Linked DNA regions of Tamandua tetradactyla. The protein of the gene in region 1 purifies or fractionates together with the protein of each later gene. This does not show direct contact. Links are inferred from orthologs where the notes say so. Each region holds a gene or a part of one and is shown on either strand. Other genes may lie near its edges.

Region 1 (6,389 bases):
GATGAGCACTTTGCATGTCTAGTTTGCAATTATTCTTATACAAGAAGTATCATTTCCCTCTATACCCAGCTTTCCAAAAGGGCCTATTGTGCTGTGAAAAAGAAAACAAAACCCGCCGACCTGGTTCTGATTTGGCTCAATACCCCATCTGCTAAGCAAGTTGAAAATTTTCAGAATTGACTCCTTTCTGGCAACAAGTGGCATAAAACAGTTTAAGCATGAGTCCCCATCATGCCTATTCACGCTGCTTCCAAAAGGAGGGGGTGGACTTACGACATATATCTGTAGTTTCTATTTTAGAAACGACATAAGTATCTCCATTTTTAAAGAGTACTTATTTAATTAATCTTCCAGCCACTTATTTGTTGCAGCTAACTTTGCTAGCACACGCTGCAGAGGAGAAATACCAAGGATTTTGCTATTTTGCTTTCTTGGCTGAGCACAGTATTATAATCCCCAAAGGAGTTATGCTTTAATAACCAGCATTATCCAAATAAATAAAAGACTCAAAGCATAATTTCAGTGTCCATATTTCAAAAATTTATTTATCTCAAACTGTGCATAATGGAGTAAAAACTTAAGTTGAAAATGTACCTGTTATCAGGGTGGCATTAGTTCAAATATATACAAGGATTATCGGCAAACTGATTCAAATAATACAGAGCCGAATCTTTAAAATACAACTACGGAAAATAAAGGGGGGAAAGCCTCAAAATATCACAATAAATTTACAGAAATATTACAAACCATAAGAAAATATTTCAAACACAGTAATTTCATATTGTCTTTATCTGAACAAAATGGAAAGTTGGGAAACAAAAGCTATTATAAATTACCGACAATGTCAACCTGCATGGCCATTTGGCTTTTAACAGTAAGTTAAAAAAATTTAGTACATCTAAAACTTTTGCCCTTTTAAAAGACCATGGAGATATTTTTGCCAGTACTTATCCTAATTTGTTTTCCTTTTGTACAATTTTTAAACAATTAAAATGTCCAAATCTGAATAATTTTCTTCTTTCCACGTTTGCAACTGTCCTAAATTTCAGCTGCAGAATAAAAATTCAGCAAGAAGACTCTCCTTGAAAAATATTGGCAAATTCTCAGCTTATAAACAATGGACATTTTGATTGCCATGTTTATCTTGATAAATACTGTACAAAAGTTGCTCGCAAATATTAAAACATTTTTTTCGTCGCTTGGAGACTAGCTCTAAATATTATTGGTAAAGACTTTTGCAAACTTTCTGCAAAGCTCCTACCGTACTACTAGAACTTTTGAAAAGTTTTGCGTAGTTTTCTTTCCTCCAGATCTATACAAGGTCCATTCCCCCCTCCCCACCTCCCCACCCTCCGGCTTTCTCTGTACAAAAATAGTCCCCCCAAAAGAAGTCCAGGATCTCTCATAAAAGTTTTCTTCTCGGCATCCTGTTTTTGCATGAGTGTGGATGGGATTGGGGTTCTCTTTTGCAGTTGTCGTTTGCTGCGGGCGATGGGATGTTCTTTTTTCACTTTATTTGTTTTAGCGTACTGGGTTTTTCTCCAGGCCGTTTCTTTTTCTCCTCTTTTGCACCCCTCCCTTCTCCCTCTCCGGTCCGCGGTCCGGCCCGTCTCACATGTGCGAGAGGGGCAGTGTGCCGTTAATAGCCGTCCCGGGCACCGGGCCGCTCTGGTAGTGCTGGGACATGTGCAGTCTGCTGGGGGCAGCGGGCTCGGGCACCTCGGCGCCAGGGAGGTACATGCTGATCATGTCCCGGAGGTCCCCGGCCTGGCAGGGCGCCCTGGAGTGCGAGGAAGAGGTCACCACGGGGGGGCTGGAGCTGGCCTCGGACTTGACCACCGAGCCCATGGAGCCGAGCGCCATGCCGGGGGTGCCCTGCTGCGAGTAGGACATGCTGTAGGTGGGCGAGCCGTTCATGTAGGTCTGCGAGCTGGTCATGGAGTTGTACTGCAGCGCGCTCACGTCGTAGCGGTGCATGGGCTGCATCTGCGCCGCGCCGTGCGCGTTGAGGCCCGGGTGCTGAGCGTAGCCCAGCTGCTCCTGCATCATGCCGTAGCTGCCGTTGCTCCAGCCGTTCATGTGCGCGTAGCTGTCCATGCGCTGGCTCACGCCCGCGCCCAGGCCGGCGCCCACCCCGACCCCGCTGGCCATGCTGTTGCCGCCCGGAGCCAGCAGCCCGCCGGGCAGCGTGTACTTATCCTTCTTCATAAGCGTCTTGGTTTTCCGCCGCGGCCGGTACTTGTAATCCGGGTGCTCCTTCATGTGCAGCGCTCGCAGTCGCTTGGCCTCGTCGATGAACGGTCGCTTCTCCGTCTCGGACAGCAGCTTCCACTCGGCGCCCAGGCGCTTGCTGATCTCCGAGTTGTGCATCTTGGGGTTCTCCTGAGCCATCTTGCGCCGCTGCCCGCGGGACCACACCATGAAGGCGTTCATGGGCCGCTTGACGCGGTCGGGGCTGTTCTTCTGGTTGCCGCCGGCCGCCGCCGCCGTGGCGTTGCCGCCGCCGCCCCCCGAGGCCGGCTGCGGGCCGGGCGGCTTCAGCTCCGTCTCCATCATGTTGTACATGCGGGCGCTGCGCGCGGGCCCGGCCCGCCAGGCGCCGACCCTCGGCGCGGCCGGGACTCCGGGGGGCGCGCGGGCGGGGGCGGAGGCGACGGGGAGGCGGGCGGGGGCGGCGGAGCGCGGGGCTCGGCGTGGAGCGCGGGCGCCGGGCCGGCCGGGGCAACAGCTAGGCCGGCCGCAGTCCGGGATGGAAGCCGCGCTCCGCCCGCCTCGGACTGCTCCCGCCGCCGCCGGCTGCCGCTCCGGGGGGAGGCCCAGGCCGGGGCGCCCACTGCTCTCCCCTCCTCTCGCTCCGCTTCTCTCCCAGTCTTAGTCTTAAAGAGGCAGCGAACTACTTTCCCCCCTTTGCAAACACTCTCTTCTCCGCCTTGACAACTCCTGATACTTTTTTGAACAAGTTAATAGACAACCGTCCATGTGACGGGGGCTGTCAGGGAATAAATGGGTTTCCAGCGGCCAATCAGCGCGTCGCGGCTCCTCCACTCGCGCCGGGCCCCGCCGCCGGGTTTTGCATGAAAGGGGGCGGGGCCGCGCGGGGGAGGGCGAGGGAGGGGGGAGGGCGAGGGACGGGGAGGGGGAGGCGGCTCCCACAGCCCGGCAGCCAACCACTGAGAAACCTTTGTATCCCCTCTCGCAGCAACAGGTCACACCACACGCCTTTTCGAAGGAAGTGGGTAAACAGCACTAAGACACGATTTTTTTTCTTCTTCTTTTTTCTTTAAACTTAATATTGATTTACTTTTTCGTACGGGGTGCTGAAATGAGGAGGGGGCACGGGAAGCAGCGAAGGGGTGGGGGTGGGGCAGGGCGGAGTGGGTGGTTCAGGGCAACTGTCCAACTAGTATTTCAGGAAACAGGCAATGCAAGAGTTGTTCTGTCATTGTTCTCCCGCTCGTTCGCCGCACTCTCCCCCCCAGCTCCCCCCCCACCCCCTTCCCCAGCACTGCCCTCCCTCACCACGCTCTTCCCTTCTCCTTTCTTCTTCGCCGAGTGCCCGCACTCCCTCGGCCCCACCTCACACTGTCCCGACAAGAAGTTACCAGACTGAAAGCTCTGTCCTCAAACCCTTTTTGCTTCTACATTGCTTTCTCTTATTCTGAAAAATAAATCCCGCTCGGGCCTTGAGGCCGACCCTGGAGCTGAGGACCGGCAGGGCCTTGGCGGGCGGCCGCCTCCACCTTCTTCACGGCCCCACGCAGTGCGTGGAACCAGGAATCCCCAGCCTTCCCTTCTGCTCCAGCCGCGGGCCCCCTCCCCTCCAGTCCTCCACGCGGTTGTTGCGAAGGGGACGCACAGACTCTCGTCCCCTCTCCCCATTTTCCTCCCGAGCCGCCCCCAAAGGATTTCAGTTTCAAAAGGGGCTGGGGGAAGGAGGAGACAGAGCGATGGCTCGAAAGTGCGGGAATGGGGAGAGTAAGTTTCACTTGCTGGCGCCCACTGCACAGCACGGAGGTGGCACTCGGGCCACACTCACAGACTCCCTCCTGCGCAGAGATAGCTCCTAGTGCTCGGGCAGGAACAGCTCTGGCATGTCCCCCGCAGCCATCTACCGCGGTGGCCGCATCCTCGGGAGCCGGGCGCCCCGGGCCCGCTAAGCACAGGCACAGGTGCAGGCCCACGGAGGGGGAGGAGGCCGGCTTGGCGGAGGGGGCCCAGCGGGGCGGGGCTGGCCGGGCTGGGGGCGGGGTAGGGGCTCAGGAATCCGGCCCGCCCGAGACCCAAGATGGTAATTTTAGCCGCACTCCCATTGTCCCGACCTAAAGATTTCAATAGGTAGGCGCTCAATGCCGCGAGCAACGGCAGCACGTCCGTTACAAATAGGTAGTTTTGTTTCTCTTGTTGTCGCTACACGGAGTCAAACAAAGCCCCGTCTAAGTTTCCTTCCACTCTCTTGTTGGGATCTTTGTGGCTAAAATGCACTTGACTACAAAGGGGGAGGGGAAAGAGAAGAAGAAGAAAAAGAAAAAGAAAAACCTGATGCCATTTCTTTTTTTAAAAAAGGCTTAAACCATCAGGATTACTTATTCTCTTTCTTCTGTAACTCTCTTTCCGCCCCCTCTTCCTCTGACCTACCCTTACTCGCCCTAAGAAAATGTACTGTTATCCACCGACCACGCTCCGTATATTGCTTTACAGAACCGTGCACTGTTTTGCTCCTTGCCAGCCCTCTTCACACAAGCGCTCCCCAATCCCTGCCCTCCTTGACTTTTCTGGGCTTGTTCAATTCAGGCTGTGTGTGACTACGGGAAATCCAGAAAAGTTCCTAAAAAGAATCCTGCAGACTCTTCCTAAAGGATTTCCCACCGATCTCCTCCCCCCCACGCCACGCCCCGTGGGCTCTCACTTTTCTCTTAAATTGTGGCTTGTTTTAGGTCTTGGGAGCCCAGGAAGGTGAGACCGAGCTTTTCGGAATGCATAAATAATATGATACGCTTCCAAATAATGTTTCTGTTTAATCGAAGTGTGATATTAGCTTCGATTATTAGGAAAGAAAATAGGGAAGGAACAGCTCGGAAGGAGCTGGGAGAAGGCTCGGCCGGGCTTCACACCGCGCCTGGTTTCAGAGGCGTGGCTGGTGCGCCCCCTACTGGTGCATCGTTTCGCTAAGACTATTGCTTTTACCTTAAAAAGAAAGTGTTTAGAAATAATTAAAGGGAAAAAATGAGGGGGGTGGGAGGAAGATTAAACTAATTACATGTAATCTAAACAAAAGAAACGCTAACAAATCATATAAGCCTTGGAACCAAATCATAAGAATCAGATTTAATTTGCTTAGCAGAAATGAACATATAACCTCGAGATAAGTGGGAGGTTAAACCATGGGAAAAAATAGGTACAAATTATGAGATTCAACATATGAATGAATTATGATTGTCCAGACGCAACGAAGGGCAGAACAAGCATTCACTTTATGATTGTGTATGCTTTGGTCTGAGCTTAATAGCATTATTCCAAAAACGAATCAAAGCTTATGGGTAATTAAGTTTGAAGAAAAAGATAAGGGGTTGGTGTGAATAATGGTAGTGTATATGTTTTAAAATAAATATTAATACCAGATGGTTGCAGAATCTTCAAATAATCACCTCCACCCCCCACCCCATAGTAAGCAGCACATAGTTTTCCTTGGGATAATATATAAAAAAAAGCTTTTATAAGAATTTCAGATGCATGTGCTGCTGTCTGAACTCTCTCATAATGCATTTAAGAGGTGAAAGGGGCTGGCTAGGTCCTTTGTTAATTGCTTTTATCATATAAATAAGCTATGGAAATACATTACAATTGTGTTATCATTGGTTGCACTTATTTACAGCTTTATTTTAATTAAGCTTGCTGAACTTATCAAGGCAATAAACTAACTGTGGCTGGCGTTTATGCATAATAATGTGCTATGAAAATAAGATTAAAGAAGGTGGTGATAATAGAAACAATTTTCTCATTAGATTTTTAGAACATATGCATTTTAAAAATTAGATCACTGGCCACTCTATTTCAACCCAGCACCACTACTGGCCCCTAAATATGATAGTAACTGTGACAATGACAACAGACAACAGAAGCAGAACTGTTAGATTCATAACAGACAGCTACAGAACTGATAATACACCATCGACTACTAGAGTATCAAAATAACACAGGGTGCTTCATCCTCTGAGAACTTAAAATGTTGCTGTGGGCACAATTTGTGAAAATTGAAAGCACTTAAAGACAGGGTAACATTTCCCTTCCATGGACAGTAAAAATCTACACACTTTTGCTGCAAGATTAGTAATTAGGGATAAAATGAATAGTGCCTGGGGTATCCTGATTTGATTTTATTCTACTATAAG
Region 2 (7,533 bases), on another chromosome or scaffold:
ACAGTGACAGGCACTGTTCAGTACTTGTGAACAGTACCATTCACAAGACTGGTACTACAAAGGAATTCCATGTTCCCATTTTAGGCTTGGATCTGGATAACAGGGAATTGAACAATTAAGAGGAAGCCAAGGAAATTTCCACAAATGAGACTGCCCCTTTGTAGAACTAAATCAACAAAAACTTACCACTTCAAATGTCCCTGGAGCCACAATCAAATTGTCAATCACATTGTTTATTTTTGTCACCAGAGAAAGGATAGACGCCTGAAAAACAGCATGAGACAAAACTCCCTAAGGTGAAAAATTACAAGCAATTTCTCAGAATTTGAATATTTTCTCATAATCCTTTCCATACAAGCTTAATACCAACACAGGCTTTAAAAACATTTTGACCCTTCTGGCCTTGAATATGCCAGAAAAGAACATTTTTTATCACATAGATGAGATCCTCCAATAAAAACCTGAATGCCTAATAATCTGTTAATATACTCAGCTGGCTCTCGGTCTCTACCCACAAGAAGAAGTAAGAATAATAAGAAATAAGAATAAGAATAAGCTTTCTGAGCTTAGTCTCTGAAAACACTATTTACTCTTAACCTCATCTGAGATTATTCACTTTTCTGACCACTACAGAAATCTCAGGAAGGAAACCAAAATAGCATACCTGTTCAGCAGAATTGGGAGCAAGGTCTTGATTCCTCTTCAGCAAGGCCTCACTGAAAGAGGTTTCATCAGGTGCTGGCTTGACCCGGGGGAAGGCCATTTCACACTGAACAAGAATTAAACTATTTAATACTACAAACATAATATTTACTCAAAATAATATACAGGAATAAGTACTTTGTACTGTTGCTACAATAATATATACAATAGAACAGCCATAATTTAAGGTCACGACTTTCACATTAACAGATGAATCAGATATTCTTATTTGAAATAAAAAGTTCAATCATATTACTGTCAACAGTAGCCAAGAAATTATCTCTTCACCCTGCTTACACTGTCTTTGTATGCAACGCAACACAGCTAACTCAAAGCCCCAACTTTATTAACAAGTCCTTGTTCCTATTCCAACTACCACTTAACTTCAATAACTGGGAAATGCTAAACTCCATTTCTATGTTAAGGTAAACAGTGGCCAGGAAAGTCATACTAACCCCAGATACTCACCAAATAGAAATCAAATGGAATATGTGGCACAAAGGGCCTAAACCTAAAACAAGGAAAACAGTCCAAATTATGCACCACATAGAAATCAAATGAGATGTTTGGCACAAACAGCCTTAACCTAGAAACAGAATTAAACAATGTTTTTATGTTCTCTCTTCCAAAACTTTGGTTTTCTAGCATCTCTTGGAGACTAACATCAAGAGAGAGAAATCTTTTTAGCATTCAGATATTCAGGTTCCTGAACAGATAAAACTTTTAACTGAGAAATAAAACGACTGCTCAAAGTTGAAAGTTCTACCTTACAATTGCTAATACTGCATCGAACCTTTCACCCAACCAATGACACCTAATTAACAGGTTCCATATACTCTACAAATTGGAGTTTTGAAAACATTTGTGTCTTGAGAATCAGGGTCAGTCCCCTGGGGGATGATCCTTCTTAGCAAAATCAACATTTAGCAGGACAGCACCAGAAGAGATGTTAAATCACAGCTACACCTAACATAACATTAGTCCACTCCAAATTCCTACTTAAATGATTAAGAGAAACCAACCAGTGCAGAGGTGCTAAAAACTGGCACTCACCCTCCTCCTGGGCCTCCTCTGGAACCAAAACGCCCACCACGACCACGGCCTCTGTCACCCCTAGAAATGTATGAAAGGTTTTTTTAAAACTCTTAAAAGTTTTTTTAAAAAGAGATTACAAAGTCATTTGAAAATAGCCAGACATCACCATTTATTTATATTAAATAAATGTAAAACTAAGTAAAATTTCCCCTTTTATTCCCCATAAATGTTTCGTTCCCCATAAACGTGTGGGCTGTATTCTTTCTGGTGTTTTTCATGGTGTTTTCACATACAAACACACAAAATATGCAAACATATATATTCCTTTTCAAGATTCAGAGCAAGTCATACTATGTACTTATCTGAATTGCTTTTTTTCAGTTAATACAGCATGTACTCCTTTCTGTGTACAGAGTGATCTCATTCCAGAGTGATCTCATTCTTTTTGATAGTCGTGTAGTAGTCCATTAAATTAATGTAGTATCATTTAAATCAATTTCTTGATATAGAAAGTTGGGAGGTTTTTTTCTTTTTACCTCACTGTAGCAACTCCACTATACCCACCACATCATTTCGAATTAGCCTCCCTTCATCGCTCTGAACCTTCGGGAGCCTAGTGACAGTATTTCGATCACACTTCTCCTCATTATGGATAATTTAATCATAACCTCAATTAATAACGGGACCCAGATACTTAACACCTAGAGCCCCTACCGTAATACCTGGGAGATGTGCCAATCCTAACATTTCCGAGATTAAAGTGAGTGCTCATTTATCTACTAAGGCATTTAAAAATGTAGTGATCATAGCCTACACGTGAAGCAACTGGCAGTGAGGATGAATGGGGCACGATCCAGCCGTCTCAGCCCAGAAGCGGGGAGGGTCCGGCAGGGATCCGCGGACACCCCCTATCCAGAGACAGCGGCCTCGAACCCGCCTCCCGCGCCCGGGCCCCACCCCCGTCCCAGGCCCGCGTTCCCCCGCCCCAGCCGGCCTCCGACCCCTCCTCCGCTACCAGGCCGGGAGTTCTCAGGTTTTAGGCCAATCCCCAATCCTCCTCCGACTCCTTTCGGCCCACCTTCCCAACATTTTCAGTCGAATATCCAAAATCCTCATACAGCGCCCCGGTCCCCTTACCTCATGGCGCCCTAAATCCCGAACAATGGAGGCCGCGCCAACCGCCCCTCTCCTCTGAGGAGCGGACAACTGGAGAAGCAGCTTGCCGGTGTCTCCCAACAAAACCCGGCGCTATTGGCTCCCGCCTTATCCCGCCGCTTTTGTCTATTGGTTCTATAAACCAATAGACATAAGCAAAGAACCAATAAAAGACGCCTGCTGTGTCGGGAACCAGCCAGTAAGAACAGGCTCGACAGCAATGGCGGCAGTTCCTTCTTCAAGAACTAGGTAGCGCTCTTTGGAGGAACTGAACACCTCGAACGCCACCAATTGTAAATACTTTCTATATGACCTTTACAAGCCCTGAACACCAGGTAGCAGAGTGGCGCAGCGGAAGCGTGCTGGGCCCATAACCCAGAGGTCGATGGATCGAAACCATCCTCTGCTATCTGGTTCTTTTATTTCCCTCCTTATAGAGAAAGGTGATACGTATGATTTCAATTTTTTTAATAGATGTGAACGCCATCTTTTCAGTTTTTTCTTCCCTTATAAATGCAGCCTTTCAAAGATTTTTCTGGCACTGGCGAATGAAGTGTACTGAGGAAGGGTCCTTAGGAAGCGATTAATACATCACACTTCTGTGTAGTTCAGCAACTTGAGGCAGAAAGGGAGACATTGTATTGATTTGCATTTAAATCAATCATTTTACTATGTGCTGGCTGTTATCCCTCCTGTTAATTTTCCCCCTTCTTGCCTTCTTTGTCATGGGAGATATAATGTTTATTATTTTCCCCCCTCTGTTAATGGGAAGTTATGCACTCTTTTCTTTTTTCTACCCTTTTAGTGTCTACCCTAAAAATTACAACACGCATCTCTGACTTCAGAAAGTCCTCCTGAAAAAATACAAGAATAACTTAATTCCATTTACCACCTTCATTCCCCTCAGAATTAAGTACTGTGTTGTGTAATGTTTTACATACTTTATTGATGTATAATTTACCTACATTAAAATGCACAGATCTTAGCAGTATAGCTAGTTAATGTTGAGTAATGTTTTAAATCTATGTAACCACTACCCAGATTAAGATAAAGAACATTTTCATCACCCTAGAAAGTTACCTCATACCCCTTTGCCCTGTCCTTAGAGGGAATCACTATTCCTATTTCTGTTTTCATATATTAGGTTTGTCTGTTCCTGGGCTTAGAAAGAGAGAGACCACATCTGAGCAACAAAAGAGGTCCTCCGGCTAAAGGGAGAGTTTATTTGGTATAAAATTTACATTTTGGGTAGTGCATTTCCTGATTTACCTTTTATGGTCAGTTTAGTTGATACCATAAGTACCATAAGATCCCATAAGAGAATCTTGAATAGGGCATGAGATCTTGTTGGGTAGTCCAGGTTAGTGTGATGTCCCGATAAATCCCAGAGTGATTTGGACAGTGAATAAAGAAGTATTTGTGAAGTCCCCTTAGGGAGTGGGAAAGAAGGGGAAAAGATTCAACTTTCCAATTTGGAGAATTTCTGATATTCTCACAAGCAGTGGGGACAACTAAATCAATAGGCCAAGCCCCAATCTTGGGGTTCACCCCTGTGAAACTTATTCCTGTAAAGGATAGGCCAGCCTACTTAAAATTAGGCCTAAGAGAACCTCTTTGTTGATCAGATATGCCTCTCTCTAAGCGACATGGCAAGGGACCCCACTGCCCTCCTCTTCTACGTGGGTCATGACTCCCAGGGGTGTGAATCTTCCTGGCAATGTGGGACAGAAATCCCAGGATAAGCCGGGACCTGGCATCAAGGTATTCAGAAAACCTTTTTGACCAAAAGGGGGAAGAGAGAAACGAGAAAAAGTGTCAGTGGCTGAGATATTTCAGACAGAGTTGAGAGGTTATCCTGGAGGTTATTCCTTTTTTTAAAAGTTTTATTAATAAAACCAATCAACATACAATATGAACATTCTTTTTTCCTCATCACATAGTTGTATATTCATCATCATGATCATTTCTTAGAACATTTGCATCAATTCAGAAAAAGAAATAAAAAGAAAACAGAAAAGAAATTCATACATACCATACCCCTTACCCCTCCCTTTCACTGATCACTAGCATTTCAATCTACTAAATTTATTTTAACATTTGTTCCCCCTATTATTTATTTATTCTTAATCCATACATTTTACTCATCTGTCCATAAGGTAGATAAAAGAAGTATCAGACACAAGGTTTTCACAATCACACAGTCACATTGTGAAAGCTATATCATTATACAACCATCTTTAAGAAACATGGTTACTGGAACACAGCTCTACATTTACATTTTCAGGCAGTTCCCTCCAGCCTCTCTGTTACACCTTAATTAAAAAGGTGATATCTACTTAATGCATAAGAATAACCTCCAGGATAACCTCTCGACTCTGGTATCTCTCAGCCATTGACACTTTATTTTGTCTCATTTCTCTTCTCCCCCTTTCGGTCGAGTAGGTTTTCTCAATCCCTTGGTGCCGAGTCCCAGCTCATTCTAGGATTTCTGTGCCACGTTGCCAGGAAGGTCCACACCCCTGGGAGTCATGTCCCACGTAGAGAGGGGGAGGGCGGTGAGTTTGCTTGTTGTGTTGGCTGAGAGAGAGAGGCCACATCTGAGCAACAAAAGAGGTTCTCTTGGGGGTGATTCTTAGGCTCAATTTTAAGTGGCTTAGCTTATCCTTTACAGGGTTAAGTAAATAAACTTTCATATAAACAAATCCCAAGATTGGGGGCTCAGCCTATTGCTTTGGTTGTCCCCGCTGCTTGTGAGAATATCAAGAATTTCCCACTTGTGACACAGACTGTGCAACAGGACTGGATACAAAAACTCAGAAATGGACAGCACAATACTACCTAACTGTAATATAATTATATTAAAACACTGAATGAAGCTGCATGTGAGAATGATAGAGGGAGGAGGGCTGGGAACATAAATGAAATCAGAAAGAAAGATAGATGTTAAAGATTGAGATGGTATAATCTAGGAATGCCTAGAGTGTGAAATGTACAATGTACAATTTTAAAAATGTTTTTGCATGAGGAAGAACAAAGGAATGTCATTATTGTAGGGTACTGAAAATAGATGGTAATTAATATTTTTAAATGTCACCTTCTGTCTGAGACTAAAGCAAAAAATGTTTACTTGTTACAAAATTTATATTTTGACTAGTGCATTTCCTAATATAACTTATGTAAATAGTTTGATTGAACGCCATAAGTACTTGGAATCTCAGATAGGACATGAGATTTTGCTGGTTTGTCCAGAGTGATGCCCCGATGAATCCCAGAGTGATTCGATCAGTGAGTGGAAAAGTATCTGCAAAGCCCCCTGCGGGGAGTGGTGAGAACGGGGAGAAATTCAGCTTCCCCAAGTTGAATTCTTGATATTCTCACAAGCAGTGTGGACAACCAAAGCTATAGGCTGAGCCCCCAGTCTTGGGGTTTGTTCATATGAAACTTAACCCCACAAAGGATAGGTCAAGTCTACTTAAAATTTAGGCCTAAGAGCATCAGACACAAGGTTTTCACAATCACACAGTCACACTGTGAAAGCTACATCATTATACAATCATCTTCAAGAAACAAATGGCTACTGGAACACAGCTCTACATTTTCAGGCAGTTCCCTCCAGCCTCTCCATTACATCTTGAATAACAAGATGATATCTCCTTGATGCATAAGAGTAACCTCCAGGATAACCTCTGGACTCTGGAATCTCTCAGCCATTGACACTTTGTCTCATTTCCCTCTTCCCCCTTTTGGTCGAGAAGGTTTTCTCAATCCCTTGATGCTAAATCTCAGCTCACCAAGAGAGCCTGTTTTGTTGTTCAGATGTGGCCTCTCTCTCCAGCCAACACAACGAGCAGTCTCACCACCCTACCCCTCTCTACATGGGTCATAACTCCCAAGGGTATGGACCTTCCTGGCAACGTGGGACAGAGATCTTGGAATGAACGGAGACTCAGCATCAAGGGATTGAGAAAAACCCTAGAATGAGCTGAGACTTAGCATCAAGGGATTGAGAAAACCTTCTCGACCAAAAGGGGGAAGAGGGAAATGAGACAAAGTGTCAATGGCTGAGAGATTCCAAACAGAGTCGAGAGGTTATCCTGGAGGTTACTCTTATGCATCAAGGAGATATCATCTTGTTATTCAAGATGTAATGGAGAGGCTGGAGGGAACTGCCTGAAAATGTAGAGCTGTGTTCCAGTAGCCATTTGTTTCTTGAAGATGATTGTATAATGATGTAGCTTTCACAGTGTGACTGTGTGATTGTGAAAACCTTGTGTCTGATGCTCCTTTTATCTACCTTGTCAACAAAGGAGTAGAACATATGGAATAAAAATAAATGATAGGGGGAACAAATGCTAAAATAAATTTAGTTTGAAATGCTAGTGATCAATGAAAGCGAGGGGTAAGGGGTATGGTAGGTATAATCTTTTTTTTTCTTTCCTGTGTTTATTTTATTTCTTTTTCTATTGTCTTTTTATTTCTTTTTCTGAATTAATGCAAATGTTCTAAGAAATGATGATATGCAACTAAGTGATGATATTGTGAATTACTGATTATGCATGTTGTTTTATTTTGTTTCTTTACTTCTTTTAATTAATAAATAAATTTTAAAAAAAACAATTCCCCACTTGGGGAGGTTGAATT
Region 3 (7,250 bases), on another chromosome or scaffold:
TAAATACTCATTCAAGTACATTCCCTCTAAACATACAAAAATAAACTCTAGAATAGTCACAAAATGTTATCTACTCTTAAGACTGAATTATGTCTTCTCAAATTATAACAAATTTCTGAAAAAATCAAAATCCAACATCAAATGAAGAAGCATAGTTTTAAAGTATAATGCTATATTGTATAAGGCCATTTCCAAAATTAAGCTCAATCCCATTTCTGTTTTCCTAATGTGATAAAATTACTACTCTACTGGCAAACACTTCACCTTGAGCCAATACTATTTTAATAGTTTATATTAGTGCCCTAATATAACTCTTAATCTTCATATACTCCAAGATGTTACTTAATCATATATGAACAGTAACAATATTACTGGTTTTCCTCCTACTCATTTTAAAGAAAAGGGGAGCTATTATACTGCTTTGGTGTAAAGAAAAAAACTAGACCTCAGGAAAAAGATCTTGAATTTCTCATCCAAAGATGTCAAGGTGCCAACTATATCCCCTGAACAAATTTCATGATCATAAAAGGTCCCCACTTTATTTCTTCAAAAAATTTTATTGTCCCTTTTTTAAATGTTAGGTCTTAGGGATACAAAGATAAGATATGGTGATCTCTGTCCGACAAAGGAATAACCTCAAAGTCATTTCAGTACTGATGACAAGCGGCATTCTGTTCACTTCTAAATTACATATATTTTAAGGCAATAATTGGTCACTTTTATCATTATATATAAATTCTTATTAAAAACATGATAATCAACTTAAGATTTATGTGTTGGGTTAACTAACCCTACTGGTTGATAGAGTCTAAAGAGTGTTTAAGATACATGTAATGTCCCTAGTTACCTAGTTTGGGTGACCCATTGAGGACTCAGCATATGTTCCTTTGGGACAGTACAAGAAACTCCTGATAGTAAATTGGCCTCTTTATTCAACTTTTAAGAAAAGGAGAGGGATGAACTAAAGTAATATTAAAAGTACGTGCTTGTTTACAGCATTTAATTTCTTCACCTTACATTTTCTTCCTCAATTAGATGTGGCAAAGATTCTTTTCCTATCTATTTTTCCTGTCTGGTTAAACCACAATAGGACATCAAAATTGATTAGGAGATGTTCAGATTTGCTGGAGGTTTAGGTAACTAGTTTCACCTGTACTGACACTATTATGCTGCCCATATCCAAATACAGTGGGGCTTCTGTAATTCAAGACTGTAACTTCTGTTAATGTTATCAGAAGAAAAGGAATGGCATATTCATGTTTAGATATAAACTAAAAGATATTTTAAGATTATTCCATTATTTTTTATTCCTACTTATATCAAATTTCTGAAAGCCCACATTTTGACAGACATTGTGGAAAAGTGCTTCACTCATTTCTGGTTCCTCGTTTTCTAAGGTGTTTCCATCTACAAACAAATTCCAGAGATCCAATCACTTATACCCACAACAATATTCTGCCTAGAAGATACTATCCCACTCTAACCCACTTGAGAACAAGAGTGTCATCACCCGGCTCGGGAGAGCTACCCCATCTCATTTGCAATCAACTTCCCTTACAACAATTTGTCCAGGTCTTAAGATAAAGTTTCAAACATTTTTATACGAGAGAAACGTCAGAAAGACATTTCGTTTACTGCTTTCTATTCTGAGGGATAAAGAGAAGGAAAAGGATGACTTCACTAAATTATTAATGTAACTTTCAACTACAGGTTAAAAGGGCTGGGAATATGAAAATAAATGCTTGGCTTCGTGTCTCCCACACGATAAGAACAAAGAGAAACAATTTTCATAACGAATGCTTACAACTAGAAATTACCATGGATTCGAGTCATCTAAATTCTTTATAGCCAATAACGGAGTTGCCACCTTAAAAGTAGTGGTTTTATTTTACCACTACACCAAAATTAAGAATCTAACGTCACACAATGAGGGGTTTTGTTTTTTGTTTTTTGTTTTTTTGCGTGAGGAGGCACCGGGAATCGAACCCGGGTTCGATTTTTCAGCATGGCAGACGAGACACACAAAGAGTTTTTACAACAGCCTGCACCGCTGACAAACATTAGGAGAGAAAAAAAAAAAAGGAAGAAAAAGCAATGCACAACATAGATTTTCTTTTCAAAAATACCTCTAGCCAATTCAAAGATAACAATGACGGGTCCATTCTATTGGTGCATTATTAAACTTCTTTCAGTGACTATAAATCACAAAAACGAATATATACTTTAGAAAGAAAACACAAAACACTGAACTCATAAAGCTCAGAATGAGGCTGGGAAGATGGGGGAGGGGTATATTCCTTCTAAATACGTTGTCAGTGGATAAGAGGAAATGTCCGATGATGTCATCCCTAGATACTCCCTAGTGATGAACACTAACTATTGCCCTTTAAAAAGGGGACTATTTTCCCGCAAACCGCGGCGGCCGCCGAGCTTTGCTCAAAGGTTCATCAAACGAAGTCTGGGAAATGGGGTTATTAATCGAGGGTGGGGTGGGAGGGAGTGCGCCGGCCCCCCAACCCCCCCTCCCCTCCCCAGCTCGCAGGCGGCGGTGCCCGGGTCGCCAGGGAAGGGCCTGGGAGCGGCGCTGCTGCACCTGCTCCTCCCGCCGCCGACGGCCGAGAGCGGTCCAGGGCCTGAGGAGGGCGTAGGGTCCCACCGAGGCCCAGCCCGGCCTTCCAGGCCGACTCCCCGCCCTACACTCGCCCCAGTCCCCGGAAGGAAAAGACAATACATTTTAACGCCATTGGAACTGCTGCTGTGGTGTTGCTGCTTCTCCGGCTCCGGCGGGTGCGGTCCTCGCCGCGGCTCGCCAGGAGGCTCCGCTGGCTGCTGAAGCGGGCTGTCGTCGCCAGCGGCCCCAAGAACCTCGAGCTTCTCGGCGTCCGCCATCCCGCCGCCGCTACCTCCACCGCCTTTGCTGAGGGGCTCCGAGGGCGACAATGGCGGCAGCCGGAGAAGCGGTAACGGATCCCGATTTGAACAGGCCCCGAGCGCTCAGCTGCCCGGATCTCGCGAGAACCTGTCGGGGCTGGGCGACGGGGATATGGTGTGAGCCTGTGTGGAGGGTGGGAGTGAATGGGGGAGGGGAACGGTGGGGGCTGGAAGGTGTGTGCCGCAGTTGCTGCGTTCGGCCCTGACCCGGCCCAGGGAAGGCTTGACCTGTCCTGAGACCTCTTTTGGGATCATGTTCCGACCACCAGCCTGCCGGTCGCTTGGCCCCCAGTGGGGTCTTCAGTTTCAAAGTGTGTTTTGGGGGTTGGAAACCTCTGAAGCTCTGAAACCCAGTAAGAGAAGCACATTAAGTAAGAGAAGCACATTCCACTTTGTCTTTAAGACATCTGTACCTCTTCAGACTTCCCTTAAAAATCCTTTATATGATTCAAATAAATCACCACTTCTGATTCAAATGTCTAGGCACCCTGTGGATATTGAAGAGTTACTGATGACTATTGCAATTCAGCAGAGTAAATGGCTTTGTATTTCTTTGAGATCACCTTGTTCGTGAGAATGAGGCTTTTCTTAGAATTCAGCTAACGGTCTATAAAAAGAATGAAATTTTTTTAATACTCTGGGCAGCAATCAATGGGTGGAATCTATAATTTTCATAAGAAATCTTCTACTAGATTGACTAATAATGGGCATTTTGGGTTTTATGTGTTTATTATATGCTGATGGAAATTATATTTGAAACAGTTATAGGTTCTCAAGTTTAATTACTGTGTGAAGTTTTAAAGTATAATCATAGATTTTTCCCCCTAAGTATGAAAAAGAAACCCATTAAACTTAATCAACTTCTAACTCTTTAGAACTATAATAATATTTCACATTGAAATAATCTTTTTCAGCTCAAGAGTTCAATGACCTTTTAAATGTTTCTTGAAGAAGCAAGCCAATAATTTATGTGCCTTGCAGAATATTATACACACATTAGTGGTAAAGTTGTAATTAGAAACTAACACTCGAATAGTAAATAAATGATTTCCTCAATTTCCCATGTTCTTTGGCATTTCATTGTGTAGTCTTCTGCTGTCTATCACAAAATACCATAAACCATCTAGTCCTGTTCCTGAAGTAAGCTATTTCATCAGACTTATAAAAATCAGAACTGTTTTAATCATGAAGAGTACATTTGCTAAAATACTGCTATTAAGGTTTTGCCTATATTCTGTTTTGTAGATACTACAAATACTATTGTGGTCGCTGCATTAATTGTTTCTCCTTAATTAATCAACCTTGAGACATAGCATTTGGAGTGTCAGAAAGGGCATTAGAATTTGAGACAGAAAACCTGGACTAGACTCCCAGCTCTGACACTTGCTGCCCATAATTTCTTGGGCAAATCATTTAACTTCTCAATCCCTCCACAATAAATAAGGATAATAAAATGTACCTTGCTGAATTAAGGTGAGGATTAAATGAAAGAACATTATATAGGGCAAAGTAGTATACGAATGCAAAGGTTTAGAATTCCCTAGCTCTCCAAGGTGGCAAAGGTTTTAGTCGAAGAGAAGCCAGATGATTTTCCCGTAATACTGGATTATAAGTACTTTCAAAACATTCCTCGCTGTCTGTTATTCGTTTGTTAAGGTTGAATTTAATGATGAAACACTTAACCCCACAGCCCCTAGAACAGTATATTCTTGCAAAGCCCTTCAAGAGATTCAACTGAATGTTTATTAAGAGGCCATGATGGTTAAGTTCCTGAGTTAGCCTGGCTAGATTATGGTGTTCAATTGTTTACTCAAGCAAGCACTAGTCTGATTGTTACTACGAGAGTATTTCATGGATTTAAATCATTTGTCTGCTGATTGCATCTATGACTGGTTAGATCTATAATCAATAAAGATTATATCAGAATGAGAGAAGTCTCATCCAATCACTTGAAGGCCTAAAAGGGAGAAGTGATGATTTCAGAAATCTGTTTCTACTTCAGTCAGCACCTTCTCCTAGGGAATTCATTGAGACCGTTTCTTTGGAGATCCCACTTGTGGTCTACGCTATGGAATTGATGTACTGGTCAATCCCCATGGTCACAGGAGCCAAGCCCTATAAGAAATCTCATAATATTTACATGCATGAAACTTGTCATTTGTTTCCCTGGAGAACCCTGACTAATACCCTTGCTTAAAACAGGCAAGTAGGAGCACAGGGGATACAAAAATGAGTACAGGCCTATTGGGAAAGAAATTGTATACAAAGTACTATTTGAATACTGTACTAGAGATAAAATGTCAGATATAATTAAAACTAGAGACTAGCCCACCTGTCCCAGTGTGCCAATTTGATTTTGTAAAATCTTTCATTAAAATATTTATCTTGATGACTGAGTTTGTTGGTGCCTCTTTATATTTGGTACTTGAGCCAAACACCTCACTGGCTATATCCCAGTCATAGCCTGTTAGATGCATAAAAAGGACAAAGGTTAATCCCTATTAGGGATAGGTGAGGGCATCATAGAAGAGCTGGATCTTAAAAGGTTAGAATTTTCTGAAGAGAAAAAAAGATTCATCCTTATCGTTCTATCTCCATTGTCCTGTACTATGATCTTTCCTTCCTCTCTTGCTATCATTATTACACTTACCTTAACTAACTTTGCAAAAAATAAAGAAAAAATGAGCTATTAACATTCTATTACATTTCATTTCTATATTACCTTCCCTTCCTCTGCTTTACTGTATTTTTTTATTCCACATGTACCTGCTTAAAAATTCTTGAGTAATGCTGTAGTTTTTATCTTACCACAGTTCCCACTATAAAAGCATTAGCCCTTGCAACCGCAGAAAATGTGTTACTGCCACACCTTCACATACCCTTAGTTTTCTTTCTTACAGATTGGAGTGGTTTATGTGTGAGAGACAGAGACAGAGAGGCACAGAGAAAGAGCTCATATCTAGAAATTTAATGCTAAAAGTCCAAATATTTTCAATTAATAATTCAATGGGTAGATCAAATAGGAATTATATTCCGCTGCTAGTAACAGAGACTGGAAATAATAGCATCTTAAACAAAATAGAAGTTATACTTCTCTCTAAGAAGTCCAGATGAAAGCAGCCCAGAGCTCATGAAGCATTTCCACAGGTTCCTTCTATCTTAGTCTTTTACCTTCCTAAAGCAAGGCTGTTCCTGGACAAAGGTGGTGGATTTGCTGCCTGATGTGTGCAAATGACCAAATCCTGAAACTTCAGAGTTTCAAAGAGAGAAATAATTTATTGCTAGGAGTGAAGCAGGAGAGCAGATGGCCTATGGGCCCAAAATCTGTCTCCTGGAGTCTGGGTATTCAAAGTTTTTATGGACTCTAAGATGGGGAGATGAAGTCATTACAATTTCAATGGCAGGTATTAGCAAAAAGGGAGAAAGAAAGTTATCATCTCAATAACAGCTATAGGCAGAAACAATTTACAAATATAATGGAGTGAAACTAGAACCAGTTAATGGTGGGTTTTGAGCTGGTTCAAATTCCTCCATTAGTATTAGGGCATTTGCCTTTACAGATTTCTTAAGGAGAAAACTGGGTAAAGGAAGTACCAGCTTTCACAATCACAAAGGCACAAGTAAGGACTTCTACAATCATTATCAGAGATCGGGGCAGTGGATCATAGTTCAGAGATTTCAGGTATTTCCTCTCCATCTACTCTAATATACCAGAAAGAAAAAAGAATATATAATGATTCAGTATTCATAATCATTCATTAAATCCTAACTCCTCTGTTTCAAGGCTTCCATTCTTAAGGTCACCCCATGGACCAAGGTGACTGCTGGAGAACTAGTGATCTTGGCTACATTGCAGGAGTAAGAAAAGAATGATCCTGTTTAGATCTCTCCTACAGCACTTCCACTTGTGGGCCAGAATTTAGTTACATGACATACCCAGCTTTAGGGGAGGTTGCAAATAGCTTTTCAGCTGGGCACACTATCCAGGGTTCTGTTACAAAAGAAGGAAATGGATGTTGAGTGACATGTAGGATATGATAATCTTTTACTTCATCTTTAAGAATTAAAAGTCAAAGACCATAACATAATGTAAAACAAAAAGTATAATATAGTTTTTAAAACAGTACGCTTGACTTTATTTAAATTAAATGACTGGATTTGGAGCCACTAAGTTCCAAACTTAGATTTAGATTCCAAAAAAAGAATTTAAAACTTTTACCAAAACTATGGTTATATTTGAAATCCACATATGTTTTCCCTATTTATTCTAAGACATTCATTCTATGATGAAAAAAACTAGATTGTCACAATCAACTGGT
Region 4 (6,974 bases), on another chromosome or scaffold:
TAGGACATAAAGTTATGAAAATTGAAATTTACATATATACAAAAGAAATAATATAATGCATGTGATAATTAGTCTCACAATTTGTACCTAAGACACACTCAACTTGAAAATAAATGGGAAAGGAGCCACATTAGCGTCTACTCCTAGTCTTTAAAAAGAGGATTAATAACTTATTAGTTCTCCACAACAGTTAAAGAGTTGAAGCTACCAGGAACAAGGCACAGTGCTGAAAGATTTATGCTCAAGGGTACCTAAAATTAAAAAACTGGGTGGGGAACACAAACCAGTTAACTTTTTAGTCATAACAGATTTCTCTGAAGATGTGAGCTGACAGCACAAGGATGTGTACAATTAAAAACGAAAAGGAATAGGGGATGGGGGAGTATAGAGTGCAACTGCATTTTCCACTACTTTCTGCGATAGCATTGAGGATAAACAACCAGAATTTAGCTCCAGAAAATTATGATTATTGAAGCAGATCAAAATAAAAGTACTATTTTCTTAGAAAGACTGTATAAACAGAAATACTACAGGAGATTCTGTGACATTTGCTCAAGTTTACAGTTTTAAAAAAGCAGGTCTATTCAAAGATTTTGATAATAATTGGCCACAATTTTTGGTAACTGGTAGATTTACATAAACTTGGCTCCTAAATTTAGGGTATTAGTGTCTATGTCAACATCCAACATCCTTCCCAACTGTTAAATAAGAGGGCTAAGATGAAGCTTCATGATTTTTGACAAAAACAAAAAATGGGGATAATAGAGCCAGTAACTTGACTTTTATGGATTTACAGATGCCATTTGATAGTAGGTCTACCCATATGTTTTCAGGCTTCACTTTTTCCTACACCGGCTAATTCCATTCTCTGCATTTACTTATCATGTAAGGGAACTTTGAGCTCTAAATTAATTTAATCTGAGTTTCATGAATAGTTTAGAGAGGATGAAGAATAATTTGATAAAGTAAACTCTGAATCACTAGGACAGAAACAAAACAACTTCCACATAAAAGGTGTACAATTTCAGGGTCCATGGGTAGAAGAGAGGGCTCCTGAATATTACCTGCACACTAGTATTCATTAATCTTCAGAAAATATCAGGACTTTTAAAAAGAGTTTCAAACACAGATAATGTTCAAACATAAGTATGTGACAGTGAGCAAGGCTTGTGGAAACCTTTGGTAGAAATTTACCAATAAAAAAATTTTAAAAACAACATTTATGCTCATCATTTGAGTAGCATTGAGTTCTTTTTACTTTTCGCAAAATGCAACAGAGAATCCATTTGACTTGCAATTATTTAATGCATTTAGCCTAAAAACATGAAATATACACAGGCACCTTTAATGAGTGGCAAGAAAATGCTAAAATTTTAATAGTTTGGTTTCCAGTATAGGATAAATCTGAAAAGTAATTTTACAATGCTGAAATCAGAACCGATATTTGTCAGGACCTTTTTCGGTATTGTAAAAAAAGTCTTTTGTTATTTCTTTCCTAGATGACAGAGGTCACAAGAGGCCAGACTTAATCTAGACAGCTCAAACTACGAATGCAGTTAACGCTTCTCAAACAGATCAATTACTGTAACAAAATTAATTTTAACTGTAGACATTTTTAAAGCAGCAAAATGGTCCAATCTTCAAGACTGAGAACAGTAACAGATTTCTCTTAACACGTGCCCGAAATATTCTAACTAGAAGGCAAACCAACGAGGTTTTAGGCATCATATCTTTTTTTGTATTATTAATTCCTACAGTTTTCAGCGTTAAGATTGTTACCCATGGCAGGACCTAGAACCCGAGGTGGTGGCGCGTGTAAGCAGCATTCCTTTTTAAATCTTCAGTACAAGCCCGGCAAACGATAAACGTGACGAGCCTGATTCACATCTTCCTGGCCCCTCCATCCCTCCTTTACGAAGATGGTTGTAATTCTGGCGGGACCTGGGGAGGAATACCGTGGTTCTGGGAGGACAGCCAGAGTGCATGGGTGTGTGAACGCTGCAGGAGCGGGTAGCAGGACTTGATCACTTAGGGGGAAAGAAGGATGATGCCTCTTAGGGCGGGAAGGTATTGCAAGAAGTAGCTGTTAGCACGACCTGCGCCGGCACGCGGGGAAGATGGTGGTGGCCGCAGGGCAGGGCAATCAGAGAGGAGTCCCTGTTATGGGGCACTTGTGGCCGCCTGCGATGAATGATTCGAGAGCAACGAAAGGGTTGCGACAATGAACCCGGGAATTCCCGACGCAAAGGGGAAAAAAAGGGCGCCGAAAAACAGGGTTATTATGGGATGGCGGAGGGGGGCTTCCTAGGGAAAATTATGGAATCTTCCTCACCCGCCAGTTGCTGTACAATCTCTTCACTCGCCGATAATACGCGTCTTTGTCCAGAGTCACAGCCATAGCCCCACACACCGCTCCTCCTCGGATCCGAGAATCACGCGAGGTCCCGGCTCCGCCACCCGCTGTCGGCCCCGGAATCCCGCACTCCCCCAGTGACCCGGAAGTAACGAGCTCAGAGGTCCTTTTCCGCTTCCGGGTCCCCACAGAGTTAGGGGTTTTATTGTTTTAAGTTCTTCTTCTAGAGGTTGGGAGGAGGAAGTAAAAAAAAGAAGTGGGGAAATCAATAAAATGTGCAACGCAAACAAAAAGTCTACATTTTCGCGGGGATTTCTTCTCAACTCAGTCCCACACGAGTTACGTCATCACGGACGCTTTGTCCCCGCCCTTACTCTCAGTCTGGCGGCGGTTTCCAGGAGCTCCGAATTTCACCTCGGCGGCGACTGCTGGAAGAGACGTGCTTACGCCGCCCCACACAAGCTGCCGCGCGCGGGCGTAATGGCCACACCCCATCTGCAAAGGAGGGGTGAAGAGCGGATTCTGGCGTGGGATGGAGGGGGAAGACTGCAGCGTTAAGTGGGTACGTTCCTCTCTTGGAAATGGTGGTTAAGTTAAAGCCGCTGCTACCGCAGGACTGGAAAGATCCTCGGTGCAAGGAGGCTGGGTCGGGCCCCGCTCGGGTACACAGCTCAATCTAGGAAGACAAGCCCGCCCTTCTGATAATCTACAACCTAAACTGTGGAGGGGAGGAAAATTAAGTGCCCGGGCTTCATTTGAGCGCTCGGATGGCAATAGGAGGCCGTGGGAAACAGCTTGAAGGGCGTCTCAAATTTTTATCTGTTCCCTTGCATTACTCCCTCATCCCACTACTCCCTCTCCCTCCCCCAACCCCAAGTTTTCTCAATCAGGCAGTCCTTTGCTACAAAGTTATGAAAAGTGATACCAGTGTCTTCCTCCAAGGCACCATTATTTCAGTTAATTCGGAACGAAGGGTACGTAGGTCTTGAAATTCATTCTTGTCTCCTCTTAGAACTGAGTTTGAATCTGGAACAATATTTTCGGCTACAATTTACTTTCAACCATCCTCTGCTTTTAGCAAGCTATATGTACGATATTCGTATATACCCATTAAAGAAATACAGATGACTGATCTGACCTGAGTTAATGTATTGGAAACAGTATTGGAACTTTGGGAAAGTGGCGTTGAAATCACGGACCACGAACGTCTTTTTATATTGGGTTTGAGCAAATATAGAACAAGGGAAGAGTGGAAAAGGATTAACTTAAATTTATTAATGCCAAGGGGAGGAAAGGTAACAGTTCCTGACCCTCCAGCTGTATCCACAGTTCGGTCAGGAACAGGCTCTGCCAGAGGCTAGAGCCAGTGCTACATAGTCTGTGGTTAACAGAGGTGTCTAGGGAGGGGTGAGTGCACCAGCAGCTCTAGTCTCCGTTTCTTCCCCAGAAATGAGGAAGTGGTCATGTATTATTTTAGGAGTTCCCCTGCCCACCCAATCCTCTCAAATTTGGGAGTAATCAGGTACAAGCTTTTTCTTTCTTTCCCCCCTTTCCACCTCCTGGAGTCCTGGGTTTCCCCACATCTCCCCTGTCCCGCCCACTTTTCCAGAGTCCAAGGGCCAGAGTAAATGAAAGTATAGCAGCCACCCACGCAATGGGGACATGCTGTGGCTTCACTCATCAGCTTCTTCGCTGGAGTCTGAATTGGCTGGCATCATAGGATCATCAATGAGTGAGAAGTCCCTTTCTGAGCTATCATAGCCCTGAGATAAATCATCATCTTCCTCATCCTCATCATCGTCGTCCTCAGGTTGCAGCGGTGGCAACCGCAAAGCAGTGCCAGAGGTGGTAGTCGCTGGTGATGAAGGGTAGCCGGTAGCTCTCAGGCCTGGATGGTGATGGTGGTGATGGTGGGGGTGAGGGTGGTGGTGGTGGTGGTGGTGATGAAGCATGGTGCTGGAGTCTACATGAGGGGATGATGCGGCACCGCCCATCACAAACGGCATAAAAGGCAAAGGCGCAGAAGTGGCACTGCTGTGACCCAGAGATGAAACAGACTGCAGGCTACTACTGCTGTGTTGGAAGCTGTTATGCAAAGACAGGGACCCAGTGCTTCCACCCTGCATCAGGGCCATCATCTTAGAAAGGTCTGGTCGCATCCTACGGGCCCGTTTTTTGCTGGTCTCTGGTGTGATGGGCCCTGGTAAAACCCGGTTGAACACAGTTTCGGTGTGGTGACCCTGCGAGGAGAGAACAGAGGAAAAGAGTTAAAAAAAGGGGGGAGGAGGAGGCAGGGAAGGGAGGGGATGATGCCACAGTGAAAGTCAAAAGAGTTCTAACATGCAAATGATTTTTCACTGAATCTTTCTTTAGGTGGGGCAAAACAAGTATAGTCAGACCAGGCTTGATGGTGGTAATGGGGAAAAGGAAATGCTGGATTCAGATGAATGTTTTGCTGCCAAAGCTAATATCAAGGATTTCATATTGATATTTGTATAAACCAAAGAATTTTTACTTTTTGCCTTGATTACATTGTAACTTTATTCCACCCGTATCTCACATATTTGTTGATAAGGGGACTGGGTAAGATGGTGAATGGATAAGTATATGCAGAGAAAGTAATTCACTCAAGTGTATAATGATGGCATGTTCACATCTTCATATCATGTGAATTGTAGCACAACTGTATTGACATTTACAATATTAACCTCCATTATCACATCAGAGCAGAATAAATTCAAGACAAATCAGACTTCTTAATGTTAAGAATACCAAAAAGGTTGTGAGTAGCTCCTAACCAAATCTAATAGAAAATGTGTTTTCCCATTGATAAAAACTTATATATTTTCTGAATTTTAAACTGCTTTTTCTAGAGGTTCTAATGGCAAACTGTGGTTAGGTTCATTGAAGCCTCTTCTTTGCAAAATACTCAGTACACTGGCATTAAACTCAAGGCAATTGGTAACTGTGTCTCTGGAATTTCTCAATTTAAGCCATACACCTAATATGCGAATATACCTTTTTGACTTGGAAAAACAAATATCTCAATACTCCTATTTGTGTGGACTTTTTTTTTTCCTGACCATAAGAGCATCTAAACTTCTGCAGATGCCAGTAATAATGCAGTGCTAGATTCACTATCAATTTTGCATTAGGAATTCTATATTAGTCATATTATGATTTCCTGTGATCTTTTATTTCTTAAAATTATCAACTGAGTAGAAGGGAAAAGGCAAAAGTGTTGAGATAAAATGAGGTAAATTGGAGAAAAAACCTTTTTTATAAGCTTTCTACAATGTTAGTTAAATAAAAGACAGATATGGCCCCAGCCTTCTAGTCATCAGCCTTCTGTATCAACCCTTCTGCTTATTACTCTTTTGTTCCCTTGGTGGCTGAGAGAGAAAATTTAAAAGTTCTTCCTTGGTAATATTATTTATATGAAATGCACTTTCACCAATATAAAAATGAAAAATGAGCCTCATAAATATATCTCACAAATAAGTATATTATATGCAAAAGAATGTTCTTGGAATTTTTAAAATATAAAAGATATATATTGTTTATTTGGAACTTGATTTTGATAAAAGATATACCATACAGTTAAAAATATGCATATATAAAATTTACATAAAACATCAAATGCAAAATTAATATACAGAAGTGCTAATCCATTTTAAATGACTGTTTACTCAAACCAGAAATACAACTATAACACAAAGTAAGGCAAGATGTGAAAAATAAACTTCTGTAATTATACTTCTGGAGAAAGAAAAAGAAACAATGGATCCACCAAATAGCTACAATCAAGATAAAAGGATAGTGCATTTAAAAATAAAGGGGGTGGTTCAGTGGCAGAATTCTCGCCTGCCATGCTGGAGACCTGGGTTCAATTCCCAGAGCTTGCCCATGCCAAAACAAAAAAAACTAAATAAATAAATAAAGGGGGACTGTGCCAAACATTAGAGACAATTAAATCAATAGGCCAAGCCCTTGATCTTGAGGCTTGCTGTTGTGAAGCTTATATATGTAGCAGAGAAGCTTAGCCTACCTATAGGACTACTTAAGAATTACCTCCAGAGGACCTCTTTTGTTGCTCAGATGTGGCCTCTCTCTCTCTTAAGTCCAACTCTGCAAGTGAAATCATTGCCATCCCCATTAGGTGGGACATGACATCCAGGGATGACAGTCTCCCTGGTGGCATGGGAGATGACTCCCAGGGACGAACCTGGCCCTGGCACCATGGGATCAACAATACTATCCTGACCAAAAGGGGGAAAAGAAGTGTAACTAACAAAGTATCACCGTCTGAGAGAGTTCAAATAGAGTTGAGAGGCTCCACTGGTGGTCACTCTTAGGCATGCTTCAGTTAGACATTGCTATTTATCATAATTTGCCAAATCCAACCAAAACCATTCTTGTCAATCCTAAGGAATATCTAGGGCATTATAAAAGATTCTATAAAGGTTCCATGCACTAGGGTAACTTTCCAAAACCTGCAACCTCCAGATGGACCAGTCAAGTCCTGAAATGCAGAGGGGCCAACCTTTCCAGAACATCAACTAGTTCCATCCCCCTACCCCATATTATCAATAACCCCTTCCAACATGTAAAAGTTAGAATG

The links.
Region 2: the proteins of SOX2 (region 1) and ILF2 purify together in Homo sapiens (affinity purification with mass spectrometry; 3 studies listed by BioGRID and IntAct, with this or other methods). This does not show direct contact. The link is inferred for Tamandua tetradactyla from reciprocal best matches to the Homo sapiens genes SOX2 and ILF2.
Region 3: the proteins of SOX2 (region 1) and MYEF2 purify together in Homo sapiens (affinity purification with mass spectrometry; 3 studies listed by BioGRID and IntAct, with this or other methods). This does not show direct contact. The link is inferred for Tamandua tetradactyla from reciprocal best matches to the Homo sapiens genes SOX2 and MYEF2.
Region 4: the proteins of SOX2 (region 1) and SUPT16H purify together in Homo sapiens (affinity purification with mass spectrometry; 3 studies listed by BioGRID and IntAct, with this or other methods). This does not show direct contact. The link is inferred for Tamandua tetradactyla from reciprocal best matches to the Homo sapiens genes SOX2 and SUPT16H.

The regions. Positions count from the first base shown.
Region 1 is NC_135331.1:80,244,943-80,251,331, reverse strand, and holds SOX2 (transcription factor SOX-2), read right to left. Parts: upstream 2,566-6,389; coding exon 1,612-2,565; 3' UTR 526-1,611; downstream 1-525. UniProt on the Homo sapiens protein: Transcription factor that forms a trimeric complex with OCT4 on DNA and controls the expression of a number of genes involved in embryonic development such as YES1, FGF4, UTF1 and ZFP206. Binds to the proximal enhancer region of NANOG.
Region 2 is NC_135330.1:6,483,766-6,491,298, forward strand, and holds the start of ILF2 (interleukin enhancer-binding factor 2), read right to left. Parts: upstream 3,027-7,533; 5' UTR 2,880-3,026; coding exon 2,875-2,879; intron 1,816-2,874; coding exon 1,756-1,815; intron 1,214-1,755; coding exon 1,171-1,213; intron 770-1,170; coding exon 665-769; intron 265-664; coding exon 187-264; intron 1-186. UniProt on the Homo sapiens protein: Chromatin-interacting protein that forms a stable heterodimer with interleukin enhancer-binding factor 3/ILF3 and plays a role in several biological processes including transcription, innate immunity or cell growth.
Region 3 is NC_135340.1:62,463,213-62,470,462, forward strand, and holds the start of MYEF2 (myelin expression factor 2), read right to left. Parts: upstream 3,011-7,250; 5' UTR 2,890-3,010; coding exon 2,732-2,889; intron 1-2,731. UniProt on the Homo sapiens protein: Transcriptional repressor of the myelin basic protein gene (MBP). Binds to the proximal MB1 element 5'-TTGTCC-3' of the MBP promoter. Its binding to MB1 and function are inhibited by PURA.
Region 4 is NC_135340.1:35,076,165-35,083,138, reverse strand, and holds the start of SUPT16H (FACT complex subunit SPT16), read right to left. Parts: upstream 3,026-6,974; 5' UTR 2,728-3,025; exon of another isoform or gene 2,577-2,727; 5' UTR 2,399-2,576; coding exon 2,333-2,398; intron 1-2,332. Other genes in the region: CHD8 (chromodomain-helicase-DNA-binding protein 8), read right to left, coding at 4,027-4,593. UniProt on the Homo sapiens protein: Component of the FACT complex, a general chromatin factor that acts to reorganize nucleosomes. The FACT complex is involved in multiple processes that require DNA as a template such as mRNA elongation, DNA replication and DNA repair.